3 linked regions of the Kluyveromyces lactis genome follow. The protein of the gene in region 1 interacts with the protein of each later gene in a pairwise test. Links are inferred from orthologs where the notes say so. Each region holds a gene or a part of one and is shown on either strand. Other genes may lie near its edges.

What was found.
Region 2: the proteins of RTF1 (region 1) and SPT5 interact in binary tests that used the Saccharomyces cerevisiae proteins (3 or more experiments, as listed by UniProt). The link is inferred for Kluyveromyces lactis from reciprocal best matches to the Saccharomyces cerevisiae genes RTF1 and SPT5.
Region 3: the proteins of RTF1 (region 1) and CHD1 interact in a two-hybrid assay, tested with the Saccharomyces cerevisiae proteins (3 studies listed by BioGRID, with this or other methods). The link is inferred for Kluyveromyces lactis from reciprocal best matches to the Saccharomyces cerevisiae genes RTF1 and CHD1.

What each region holds. Positions count from the first base shown.
Region 1 is NC_006037.1:69,890-75,040, reverse strand, and holds RTF1 (RNA polymerase-associated protein), read right to left. Parts: upstream 2,809-5,151; coding exon 1,060-2,808; downstream 1-1,059. Other genes in the region: TAD1 (tRNA-specific adenosine deaminase), read right to left, coding at 1-854; RMD8 (Rmd8p), read left to right, coding at 3,405-5,151.
Region 2 is NC_006038.1:68,439-72,677, reverse strand, and holds the start of SPT5 (transcription elongation factor SPT5), read left to right. Parts: upstream 1-1,325; coding exon 1,326-4,239. Other genes in the region: ERV25 (Erv25p), read left to right, coding at 1-150; RAD33 (Rad33p), read right to left, coding at 478-1,008. UniProt on the Saccharomyces cerevisiae protein: The SPT4-SPT5 complex mediates both activation and inhibition of transcription elongation, and plays a role in pre-mRNA processing.
Region 3 is NC_006039.1:1,546,405-1,550,803, forward strand, and holds the start of CHD1 (chromatin-remodeling ATPase CHD1), read left to right. Parts: upstream 1-1,485; coding exon 1,486-4,399. UniProt on the Saccharomyces cerevisiae protein: ATP-dependent chromatin-remodeling factor which functions as substrate recognition component of the transcription regulatory histone acetylation (HAT) complexes SAGA and SLIK. It recognizes H3K4me.

The DNA.
Region 1 (5,151 bases):
GAACTCAAAGAAGGTTGTTGAGATAAGTTGGTTCGATCAGCAGAAAAAGTCTCATTACAAAATAAAAACTTAAAGGGCAAGAATTGCTGATTCTTTAATCTTAACCAAAATGTATCTTCTAACTGTACTTGCTCGTACTGGTACTGCTTTGGCAGAACAATCCATTCTAAATATACAGGTGATTGCAGAAGTGACCAGGTTAAAGCATTGCAGATTGAAATCATCTGCTTCATTGTTAATTTGTCCGAGCACGATTTCGAAAGTGTTATCTTTGAGTCTGCACGACCGGGTTTTGTTCGAACAACTTTCCTCAATTTGTAGTTTGCGCGTCCCCTGATAATTGTATCGATTTCGGGATGAACGTATTGCCCATTAATAAAGATATTTCCCACTTGCTGACAATTTTCGCATTCTGACTTATCTTCTGCTTCCAGTAAATTCATGCTCGCATCACCACAGGGTATGCGTGAGATGTACATGGCAAATTTCCAAACATCTTTAACCTTGTAGCCATCGGCTGATTTCTCTATTAAAAATGATTTCTGGCCATTCTGTAGATCACATATTTCCTTCAGCAACAGTGCATTAAAAGCGCGTAAACATATAACTTCAGCATGACAATCATGTACTATTTGCCCGTTACTCCTTTGCAGCTCTTCGTTCGGAGTAGCTTTTACGCCAGTGCCAAGTGAAATCGGCTCATACCTGTCATTGAGCTCATCAAACGCGACAATACCTGATAAAACAGTCCACTCCGTCACTCCATTAGATCGGATTCCCGGTTTGCCAGATTTAGGTAATTTATCATATGCACTTATGACGCTAGCCGCAATTCTATCTGCAATGACTGCCATTCGCTGTGCACGATGCTCCTGATTTCATTTCTGACATGTATGAGATGCTTGCAAATTCTACAAACTTTTGGAAACAAATCTAACATGAATACATATGTACAAAGGCTGAAAAAAAAAAAAAAAAGGTTCTCAAAAATATCCCGATAGTACTAAGAGTAGTAGTAGTAGTACAACATAATATTATTCACTATACCGAATAGGACTTTTAAATATCTATGTGTAATTTTAGATCTAGAGAACCAATGATTTCTTCGAGGCCACCAAGACGTCTGAATTTAGCAAGCAGTAATTCCTTTTTCTTTTGTTCTTCAGCTTCTTGGTCAACTTCTAGTTGCCTTTTAGCTTCTTCTCTTGCCTTTTCGTTTTCTTCCTGTTGAATTTCTTGGTAGTAGATCTTTGTTCTTGTTTTTAGTCTACTGAATGGATCACTCTTGGCATCCACTTTATTTACACCTTCTTCTCTCTTGATTGTTTCTGCGTGTCTGATTCGATCAATATTCAATTTTCTGTTCTTGGATGTTAAAGCACCCAAGGTCTTTATGTCATTCTGATCGTTTTCATGATGCTTCTCATAGGAACTTAGTCTCTTTTCTAATGCTTTAAGTTGGTTAGCATATTTACTTTCACTCTCAATATCGCCAGATTGTTTAGAGAATTGCAGTTTTTCTTTGAGCACTTGTTTTTCCATGACAGCATTTGTACCTGAAAGTTTCTTATTGAATACCATTCTATTACGAACGATATCGTCCATCAATTTCGGTGTGAGAGGTTCGCATACGAATTCATTTACTGCCTTGGACTTGTTATTTAGAATATAGGGTGAAGGCTGTGTAATGTCGTATTTTTCCAAAGAAAGTAAATAACGCTCGTATTCTGGTTGAGTGACAGGACTATCACTGAAATAGCTCATCTGGAAAATTTTTCTGTCTTTGCCTTGAGTGACACCAAAATATTGATTAGTAAAGAATTTACCCATGTTGTATGGTTTTTGTAAAAATACACGTTCAATTTTTACCATACGATACATTGAATTACCTGTGTGCTTGTCCTTACCAATGTTCACTCTACCGTAGCATCCTTCCACTATCTTGTTGAAATGGGGATAGAAGCAAAATTTAGCGACAAAGGAACGGCCAATTTGTATTTTATTATAATCATCAAGGGAAGACTCCCTGTCCAAATTGTCATCTTCAGCCCATTCTACTTCATGAATATCTGCGCGCTCTCTTCCGCGGGTCTTTGATTTTTCATAGCCCAGATCATAGTCATCTTCTTCCTCATCGTATTCCGACTCTTCCTCTTCTTCGTCGTCATAATCGCCTCTTCTTCTTCGGCCACGGCTATCATCTTCGCTTCTGTAATCATCTTCAGACTCGTTGTCACTAAATTCATAATTTCCACTCTTTTTAGCCCTTTGTTTCTTAAGTTCTGAAAGCTTAGATTGTTTCAAATCAGAATGACCAGTGGTTCTTGAGGATCTAGTAGAGGCACGGGTCGATTTTGAACCCTCCCTTTGCAGTTGTTGTTGTTGCTTGATGGATTTCGCATGTTGCCTCAACAATTTGCGTTCTTGATACTTTTGCATCTGTTGTGATCTTTCGAAGAGAATGGATTCTCTTTCCATTTCCGGCAACAGTTCTAGCTTTTCACGATCTTTCTCATCCTTGTATTTACCTTCCAACGGAAAGGGGATTGAGTCTGTTTCTTCTTCTTCTTCTTCTTCTTCCTCGTCATTGTCGAAAGAGTCCGCTGGCATATATCCATCGTCATCCTCCTCATCATTGTCATCTTCATCTTCATCTTCATCTTCATCGTCTTTCATTATACGCCTTCTTTTGCTTCCGGATGACTCCTTGCTAGCGTGCTTTTTGGATGTTGATAGGAATTCATCCTCTTCTTCCTCGTCAGTTCCGGCACCGGCTAAAGCCAATAAATCATCATCCAAATCAGACATTCTCAATAGATATTACACGAGCGACGAGAAATTACTAATACCTGAATGTTTTAGGTAGTGAAATTCACGTATCCTACAACTGGTGATATAACTTGGAAGGAGACAATATCGAAGTTGTTCTCCCACTGCTTACTATTCCGTTTTTAATCCATTCGTCTTTGAGTTTTCATTTTAATTTGATTGTTCAATATCGATAATTCAGTGAAAGTGGAAGATGTTCGGGTAATATTTTGACAAATGTATGGAAAAAAAGACGAACACAACTAAGAGGATCGTTGTTAAAAGAATGCACATATTAGCAGAAAGATATGTAGACATATCCAGTTCTCTTGTGAAGTACACCATTATCTCCGCAGATACTACTGTCGAAGTGAAATAAGAACATTCTATTTTTGGCGGTTCTAATACGAATTTCTGGGCAGCGGCTGCCTTTGATTACATTTGAGACAGCAAATTCACTACCCGCCTGGATATATCACTAGCAATCAAGATTGCTGTTGGAGTCGACGGGGCTTGGTTCAATATAGTACGCTACTGTTCGATACTTGTAGTGCAAATAACGGCACCCAATATATTCGTTCATATCATTGTGCATTATGTCAGTCATTGATGATAGAAACACAGCGGTTCCTATGAGCAGATCCTTATCGAGAAGATCGCCAAGTATCTTGGTAACAGATGCACGTTCTAACAAGAATCGTCCGTCTGCACCCTTTGCGGGCCATGCTGCCGGTATGAGGAACGTAAGTTCAGTGCCAAGATCTGCGGCTAGCTCAGGCGGGAAAACAGACTCTAAAGGAAGTAGAGTACGAAGAAGAGGATACGATATGCATGGAGACAAGAAATCCATTAGTAGTCGCTTCAGCGATGTGTCTATGGATAACCTTTTATTGGATGTCAGTGATGTTCCGTCAGGTAGACGTCAGGAACGTTTATCTACATCCTCATATGACATGTTTCCTCGAAATAGGCAAAGAGGAACTCATATCACCAAAATGATCAATCCTTTACCGACAAGAACTTCTAAGACGTCTCAGAAACTTGTGTTGATTCCGGATGAAGCCCATGACAGTAGAAATATAAACCAGTTTAGAAAGCGTGCAAATAAAACTCAGAGAGCGAAATCAAGTTCTAAGACCAAAATGGATAAAGAAGTTGATCTACCGAGAATAACAGCATACAATGTTGCTGAGGGATTCAACCTATCTTTAACCTCAACCTTCATGAAGCAGACCCATGATGTACTACCAAGGTTATACGACGAATGTTTATACGTACCGTATACTCTTCCCTTATTGCCTGGCAAGGATGGTTTCAGAATTAAATCAAACATATCAAAAAAGACCCAAGGAGGTAAGTCAATCATTGACTATTTAATAGATACCAGCGAGAGAAGAGATCATCATTATGAATATTTTTCGGGAGTCGAAACGCTTGAAGATGTTAACAATAACTACGAGTTAGACGAAGGGGGAGTAACAAATAATTTAAATGCCGAGAATACACCAGATCATCTACCGAATCCGCCAGTCAATACTTCTGTGTCCTTCGACCCAAGTGAGCCACAATATTTTGCTGAGGAGAATAATGCAGAAGCGGAACTGGAGGCTTTCAATGAGATTAATGGTAAAACTTCATTATTTCAACAGCAACATGCGGAAATCTTCATATTCAGTTATGGTGTAGTTGTGTTCTGGAATTTCACTGAAATTCAAGAAAAAAACATCCTAGGTGACATCTCGTTTTCATCTTATAAGAACATGGTGCTGAAACCTTTAGATGAACAAGATATCGAGATTGAAAGCTTCCATTTCGAATATGACATGGATACGGAAAGACCTCGTATTTTTAATGACATAGTGACTTTGAGGTCCGGAGACCACTTAACAGCCTTAACATTGTCCCATGCCATAGCTCAATCGGTCAAACTATCGAGATTTGAAGCGCGCATAGTTCCGATCTTCGGGTCAGTCTCTAAATTGCCTAAAAGACTTGCTTTGTATGGTACCTTGGGGTTGAAAAGGGAACAATTATTGAAGAAATCAGGTAAGCTATTCAAGTTACGCGTCGATGTTAACCTATCATCCAGTGTACTTGACACCCCAGAGTTTTTCTGGTCCTTTGAACCAAGTTTGCACTCTTTGTATCAAGCAATGAGAGAATATTTAGAAATTGATCCTCGTGTTCAAGTTTTAAACGATCGTTGTAAAGTATTTTTAGAGTTTTTCGATATATGTGTCGATTCAATTGCTGAACGGAATATGGCCCGTATCACCTGGTGGTTTATTACAATCATATTCATCAGCGTTTTGATTTCCATTGTGGAAATTTTGGTACGCTATT
Region 2 (4,239 bases), on another chromosome or scaffold:
GGGAGAGAAGAAAGACTAAGAGACACCAACGAGTCCACCAACAGAAGAGTTAGAAACTTTTCTATCGCTGTCATCGTTGTTTTGGTCGCTTTGGGTGCATGGCAAGTAAACTACATGAAGAACTTCTTTAGAGCTAAGCACATTATTTAGAATGTTCGAATAGTTTCAATGCCTTGAATCTCAATACGATCTTCAAATATTGAATTGAAGAAACATACATCATATGGTGAGCCTTTTATACGTGTACAGTATCTATATATGGAAAATGGCATAATTTCTAAATCGGACGAGTAGAGGGGGAAAGGGATTATATTATGCCTAGACGGGTAGGTCTTTGTTTTTGCTAGAATTCTATGTTGATATGGCCACCAGTTACATTTATAAGTTTTGTACTAAGTTACTAGTGATATTCTTCCAAATGTTCCAAAGATTGACGTGTTTTTTAGGAAGTGAATTATTTAGTGGATTGCAATGATGCTAGTATCTTAATAAACCCATTTTACCAAGTAATTTGGCAAAGTCTAGGTAAGTGACAAATACCCTCTCGCCGTTCGTAGCCCAACTTACCATTGACAGGATAATATGTTGATCCATATCCACTTGAACAGCAGCCTTCTGGACATCTTTAACACTTATCACGTGCTTCCTTAGTGCAACCTTAGGGAACTGTTGCAATCTACCGGTATATTTTAATAGTAGTTCCCATTGTTTATCTATTATACTCTCGTTGTCCATGAAGATCAAGAGTCGATAAGTGACATCCAAGAGTTTTTCGAAATCTATGACGTCAATTCCATCCAAGCATAAGTCCTTGAATTCTAATAATCCGTACCATGATTTACTGATTTGTAATTCCGTATAAAAACTAGAAATATCAGCCCACTTGAATTCACCTTCTTCGGTGAAGCTTAAATATATCGATAGGACTTCATCTTCAATCTCGGTGGGCATTCTGGCCTCATTCCATCTGGTAATTGTGTCATAACTGACATCATTCTTTTTCCGCATAACTACATTATCTGGTCAGCAATGACTCATCGGTTAATATTGTCCTTAACGTAGCCAGAGCTGATGTTATATATTAAAGACTACATAAGGTACTAGCTGCCCGTTCGTTATGAAGTGATGCAGACTGATTCATCGGCTACTTAAGTACTTTTGAAATACTTAGGCGAGAGTTACCCTCTATTTGTGATCCTTGAAAAATTTCAATCTAAACTTCCCAATTTTCAATACAAAAATGGTAGTCCACGCTAAGTTGTAATGATGATCAGTATGCATTACAGTTCGCATTCACGATACAAAGCAACAGTCAGTAAGACGTCATGAGCGGTACTGCTGAGGAATCCGATAAAGCAGAGGCTGTTTCTGTACCTGAAACAGTTTCTGGGTCAGTTGAGAGTCAAGATAAGGAGCATAACTCTACTTCATCTTCGTCTGATTCTACAGATGTGGTTGGAGGCAAGAAAAGAACTATCGATGAAGTTGATGGGAGTTCTGAAAACAACTCTGCATCTGTCGATCAGTTAAAGGACGCTCCTACTGATTCTAAACCAAAGACAGAGGCTACTGAAGATAGTCCAATTAGGGGAAATCAAGGGAACAATCAAGAAAACAGTCAAGAAAACAAAGACGATGAAGATGATGAAGATGACAATGACGACGATGACAATGACGATGACGATGACGAAGATGAAGATGTCGAATCATATAGGAAGAAGCAACGTCGTGAAAGAAACAGATTCTTGGATATTGAAGCCGAAGTCAGTGAAGACGAAGACGACGAAGAAGATGAAGAAGATTCAGAACTAGTTCGTGAAGGTTTCATTACTCGCGGTGACGAAGAAGACGAAGAGGATCGTGGTGGTAGAGTTGATGACAGACTGCATAGAGAATTAGATCAAAATCTTCAAAAAACTGCGGATGAAGACATGCACAAGATCGCTGAAGACTTCAAGAAACGTTATGGTCGTGACTCTTCCAAAGATTACCGTGTACAAACTCAAGGTGGGTATGTACCTCAGAGGTTTATGTTACCAAGTGTTGATACTGCTATTATTTGGTCCGTTCGTTGTAGACCAGGGAAGGAGAAAGAACTAGTGAGAAAGTTGCTAAATAAGAAGTTTAACTTGGATAAATCTATGGGCTCTAAAAAATTAAAGATTCTGTCCATCTTCCAAAGAGACAATTACACAGGAAGAATCTATATCGAAGCTCCAAAACAATCTGTTATCGAAAAATTTGTCAACGGTGTTCCAGATGTCTATTCTAATCAAAAGCTTTTGATTCCCGTGCAAGAACTACCTTTACTATTAAAGCCTACCAAGTCAGATGAAGTGAGACTTGATGTTGGTTCTTATGTTAGAATTAAAAGGGGTATTTATAAGAATGATTTGGCAGTCATTGATCAAATTAGTCAGAACAACTTAGAAGCTCTATTAAAGATTGTACCCAGATTAGACTACGGTAAAAATGACGAAATCGACCCAGATACAAATCAGAGAAAGGCAAAGAGAGCAACGTTTGCTAGTAGGCCTCCTCCTCAATTATTTAACCCTACTATGGCATTAAGGTTAGACCAAGCCAACTTATTCAAAAGAGATGACAGGCACTTCACTTACAGGAAGGAAGATTATGTTGACGGTTATCTTTTCAAATCTTTTAAGATTCAGTATCTTGATACAAAGAATATCCAACCTACGGTGGAAGAATTATCAAGGTTCGGCAGTAAAGAAGGTGATGTCGATCTAGCAGCTATTGCTCAAACTATGAAAAAAGCTCAAGCTTCTAAAGCTATGTTTCAACCAGGTGACCGTGTTGAAGTGTTGACCGGGGAACAACGTGGATCTAGAGGTGTGGTGACTAGAAGTTCTAAAGACGTCATCAGCGTTAAACTATCGGGCTTTTCAGATAAATCATTAGAGTTCCCAATTGCATCTCTAAGAAAAATTTTCGAACTTGGTGACCATGTCACAGTAATAGCTGGTGAACATGAAGGTAACGCTGGTTTGGTTCTTTTGGTGCAGAACGGTCAAGTCACATTTGTTTCTGACCAAACTAGAGAAAATTTGACAATCTCTGCGAATAACTTGAGTAAATCTATGGATTCTACTCCGACATCAAGCGAGTACGCTCTACATGACATTGTTGAGTTAAGTGCCAAAAACGTGGCATGTGTGATCCAGGCTGGACATGATATTTTCAAGATTATTGACGACTCCGGTAAAGTGGCTACTGTTACTAAAGGCTCAATTCTTGCCAAGATCAATGTAGCAAGAGCGAAAGTAGCTGCTGTCGATGGTAATGGTAGAGAAATAAAAATTGGCGATGTAGTAAGAGAAAAGATCGGTTCCCGTAGAGAGGGACAAGTACTCTACGTTCAAAACCAACATATTTTCATTAGATCGAAAACAATAACGGAAAATGCCGGTGTTTTCGTTGTTAATCCAATGAATGTCGAGGCTGTCGCCTCAAAAGAAAACTTGATGTCGTCAGCATTGGATTTATCTAAAATAAATCCAAATATTGCGTCTAAGATGGGACCACCACAAACTACTCAGCAGACGCGGTTAGTTGGCCGTGACGTCGCTTTGAACAAAACTGTTAGGATACGTTCTGCGGGATACAAGGGGCAGTTGGGTATTGTCAAAGACGTCAATGGAGATAAGGCTACTATTGAATTGCACTCCAAAAATAAGCATATTACAATAGACAAAAGAAAACTTACTTACTTCAGTCATGAAGGTGGTGAAGGTATAACATACGATGAACTTGTTAGTAGACGTGGTAGAACTCCACATACCAGATTGGGCCCAAGCTATGTCAGTGCACCAAGACACATGGCTGCCGGTGGTGCGGTGGCAACGAACACTCCGCAACAACTTCCTGGTGGAATGACTCCTGGTTGGAATGCATTTGATGGCGGTAAAACTCCTGCGGTTGGCCAGAACGGAGGAACTTCATCCTGGGGTGGTGCTTCGACATGGGGCGGACAAGGCCCTGGTGGTGCTTCTGCCTGGGGTGGAGCTGCTGGAAACACTTCCACCTGGGGTGGGCAAGGTGCTACATCAACTTGGGGTGGTGCGTCCACTTGGGGTAATAAATCTAGTTATGGAGGCGCCTCTTCTTGGGCAGCAAGCGGAGAATCAGGAGCAGCTTCTGCCTGGGGCGGTGGCAATAAATCAAGCTATGGAGGTACTTCTACCTGGGGTGGTAACCAGGGAGGTGTCTCTGCCTGGG
Region 3 (4,399 bases), on another chromosome or scaffold:
TTCCTTGCTTTGCAATTGACCTAGGATAGATTAGGACAGATTAAAATATAAATTAGGATGGATTAAAATCAGATTAATAATATCCTTCTGTATCCGAAATAAATAGTTTTAAGAGTAGTCTTATATCAAACTCTTCTCACCAGCCTTGAAACCGTATTCTCTAGTCTGTGCTTCTAAAACAAAAAAAAACTCTTTAAAAAAACGAATACCACTACTAAAGAATCAGAACCTATTACTTATTGAGATACAAGTAATCAAATTATAAGTACAACTGAATTAAAGCAAACTAAAACAAGTGAAATAACTTTATATTTTAAAACCTTTACCATTGTTTTCATACAGATAAAGCTTGGAAATTGTTATTGTTCCATTCTCGTTTTCTCGATGAGATGAGCTTTGTGAAATTTTTCAGTGAAAAAAAAAAAAAAAATTTTTTTTGGTGATGAAAGGATTAGTTAATTATCGTTTAGAGTGATGTGATATGAATATATAAAGAAAGCCGGCTTGAGATCTTGTTTTCTCTTCTTTGGATATCACTTTTCGGGGAATCATTTTTCCGGAACTTGGGCGGTTAAATCATGTCGAAGAAGCAAGGGTAGATTTGGGCGGGAAAGTGCCACTATGGTGGGAATTTCCCTGGAGTTATGTCATTGTGGTTGATTCAGGGGTGTCTCTCCGGTGTGGGCTCGCGTTGCCCATTTTTCAATGGGCAACGCGATATAAGTGCTTGAGTTTGTTCCTCCCTTTTTGAGGTGCATCATTCATATGGAATTGCTCACCAAGTGTGTAAACGTTTGGTTACTGATACGATGAAAGGGGCCCGTACTCGATTAGTACGGGATATGCTCTCTATTGTCGACTTTTTGAAATCGCCAGCATTTGAAATATTCACGGAATTCATACTGTACTGTATTTTTTTCTGTTGAAATTGAAACTGCTGTTTTATCAACTGGAAACCTCCTCAATTGACCACCGTTTGACCGTTCATTATCCAACCTTATTCTTTCCTTCGGTCTGAACAAACCGAGTAGACACGCCATGTACGTGTTTATTCAGCGTTTGCCAAGTCTGTCTCCACTGACATATGTGCCGATCATCTTCTACTTCTTGCTACCTTGCCCCATCGATTGAGATGGATAGTAATGTAATCCCCGTCTTGGTTGTCACCTGTCAACGGTAATGTGATACATTACTTCCTAGTTACCCTCTTTCTCACCCTAGTTTTATAAAATTTTTTTAGTCCTATATCGTCTGTATCTTTCCCGTAGTCAAAACTTGTTTTGAACTCTTTTTCCAATCTAAACCTGTAAAGAAAAGACCCATTCAACAGAGCACACGATTTAAACGTGAGAATATCTGCATTTAAGGATTCGATAGGTATTCTAAAGCAGTGGAGGTGAACGAATCTATTGTCACAGAGTGTTAAAGTTGTGTTTTGTATTAATATTTTTTTTTGTTTTTCCCTCTGTTTAGATTCATGCAATAATGGTACAGGATTTACCAGACGAAGTCTTAGCGAATCCGGAACTTTACGGGTTGCGTAGGTCGCATAGAGCCGCTATCACCCATAATACTTATGCTGGTTTAGATTCAGATTCAGATGAGGAAGTGATTCGTCCCAGAAGGGGTAAGCAAAAGCGGAAGGCTGTGAAACAGGAACATAATTATGACGAAGAAGAGGAAGAAGAAGAGGAAATTGATGATTTCAGTGACACTGATGATTTCGGTTCGAAAAGGAAACCAACCCGCGCACCTAGTGCCAAAAGGGGTAGGAAGCGTGTCAGTGCTGGTAATTCAAAGAGTAAACGCCAAGCGAAACGTGTCGAGGAGAGTGACGAGGAAAATGTCGTTTTGCCTACCAGGTTTTCGTCTCGGAATAATAATAAAGTCATTAATTATACATTAAATGATGATTCTAACGATGAGGATTTGATGGAATCTTCCGAGGAACAGGATGAGGGTCATAATTTGGATAGCGAGGATATGGACTTGCAAGATGGATATTCTGCTTCGCCGTCGCCGCAACAGGAAACGCATAGCATCGACATCGTTGTCGATCATCGTTTGAAGGAAGGTGTTGATAATTCGGGATCGACGAAGAATCGTAGATGGGATGTGGATTCCATCAGAGCTAACTTTGAGTTCCTTATTAAATGGGCAGATCAATCTCATTTACATAACAGTTGGGAGTCCTACGAGGACCTCAAGGAGAACGGGACTAAAGGTTTGAAAAGAATAGAGAATTATTATAAACAGTTTATCATTTTAGATCAAGAGGTGAGAGCAGACCCATATACCACCAGAGAGGATATAGAAGTCATGGATCTTGAGCATGAGCGTAGAATTGACGAATTCGAAGAGTTCAAGGTGCCAGAACGGATCATTGACTCGGAACGTTTTGAAAATGAGGACGGATCAGGTTCGTCCCAATTGAAGTATCTTGTAAAATGGCGTCGTTTAAATTATGATGAGTGTACTTGGGAAGTAGCCTCCGAGATTGTCAAGATGGCTCCTGAACAGGTAAAAGAGTTCCAAAACAGAACCAATTCCAAGATAATGCCACAAAACTCCTCTAATTACCCAGCAAATCAAAGACCGAAATTCGAAAAGCTAGACGCCCAACCTAGTTTCATTAAAGGTGGGGAACTAAGAGATTTTCAATTGACTGGTATCAATTGGATGGCCTTTCTTTGGTCAAAGAACGATAACGGTATCCTTGCTGATGAGATGGGTCTTGGTAAAACTGTTCAAACTGTTTCATTTATCAGTTGGCTCATTTACGCTAGAAGACAAAACGGTCCTCATTTAGTAGTGGTACCTTTATCAACCATGCCTGCATGGCAAGAAACTTTTGATAAATGGGCTCCTGGTTTGAACTGTGTTTACTATATGGGTAATCAAGCTTCAAGGGACTTAATTCAAGATTATGAATTTTACACCAACCCACAAGCTAAGGGCAAAAAACATCTCAAATTTAACGTTCTGTTGACAACATATGAGTATATTTTGAAAGATAGGTCAACGTTGGGTTCAATTAAGTGGCAGTTCCTGGCTGTGGATGAAGCTCATCGTTTGAAAAATGCAGAATCATCTCTATATGAATCTCTAAACAGTTTCAAAGTTGCGAACAGATTGTTAATCACCGGTACACCGTTACAAAATAACATTAAAGAATTGGCGGCATTGGTGAATTTCTTAATGCCAGGCAGATTCACTATTGATCAAGAAATCGACTTTGAAAATCAGGACGAACAACAGGAAGAATACATCAGAGATTTGCATAAGAGGTTACAACCCTTTATTCTTCGTCGTTTGAAAAAAGATGTAGAAAAATCCTTGCCCTCGAAAACCGAACGTATCTTAAGAGTGGAACTCTCTGATGTTCAAACGGAGTATTATAAGAACATTCTAACAAAGAATTATTCTGCTTTGACTTCTGGTATTAAGGGCGGCCACGTTTCTCTTCTAAATGTTATGAATGAATTGAAAAAGGCATCAAACCATCCCTATCTTTTTGATAACGCCGAAGAAAGAGTTCTTTCTAAGTTTGGTGATGGTCACAAATCTAGAGAAAACATTTTAAGAGGGTTGATCATGTCCAGTGGTAAGATGGTATTATTGGATAAACTTTTGACACGATTGAAAAAGGATGGTCATCGGGTTCTAATTTTCTCACAAATGGTTAGAATTTTAGATATTCTAGGTGACTATTTATCTATCAAAGGTATAAATTTCCAAAGACTTGACGGTACAGTGCCTTCTGCTCAGCGTAGGATATCTATTGACCATTTCAACGCGGAAGATTCTAACGATTTTGTCTTTTTGCTATCTACCAGAGCCGGTGGTTTAGGTATCAATTTGATGACTGCTGACACTGTCATCATCTTTGACTCTGATTGGAATCCACAGGCGGATTTACAAGCTATGGCAAGAGCTCATAGAATTGGCCAGAAGAATCATGTCATGGTTTATAGATTTGTATCCAAAGATACAGTTGAAGAAGAAGTCTTAGAGCGTGCAAGAAAGAAGATGATTCTAGAATACGCTATTATTTCTCTTGGTGTCACAGATGGTAACAAAATATCATCAACCAAGAAGAATGAACCGAGTGCCGGTGAGCTTTCCGAAATCTTGAAATTCGGTGCTGGTAATATGTTCAAACCAAATGATAATCAACAAAAGTTAGAAGACTTGAATTTGGATGAAGTTTTGAACCATGCAGAGGATCATATCACAACTCCAGAGCTTGGGGAATCGAATTTGGGTGGAGAAGAATTCTTGAGACAGTTTGAAGTTACGGATTATAAAGCTGATGTTGATTGGGATGACATTATCCCCGAAGATGAACTCAAGAAACTAAAGGATGAAGAACAAAGGCGTATCGACGAAGAATATGTCA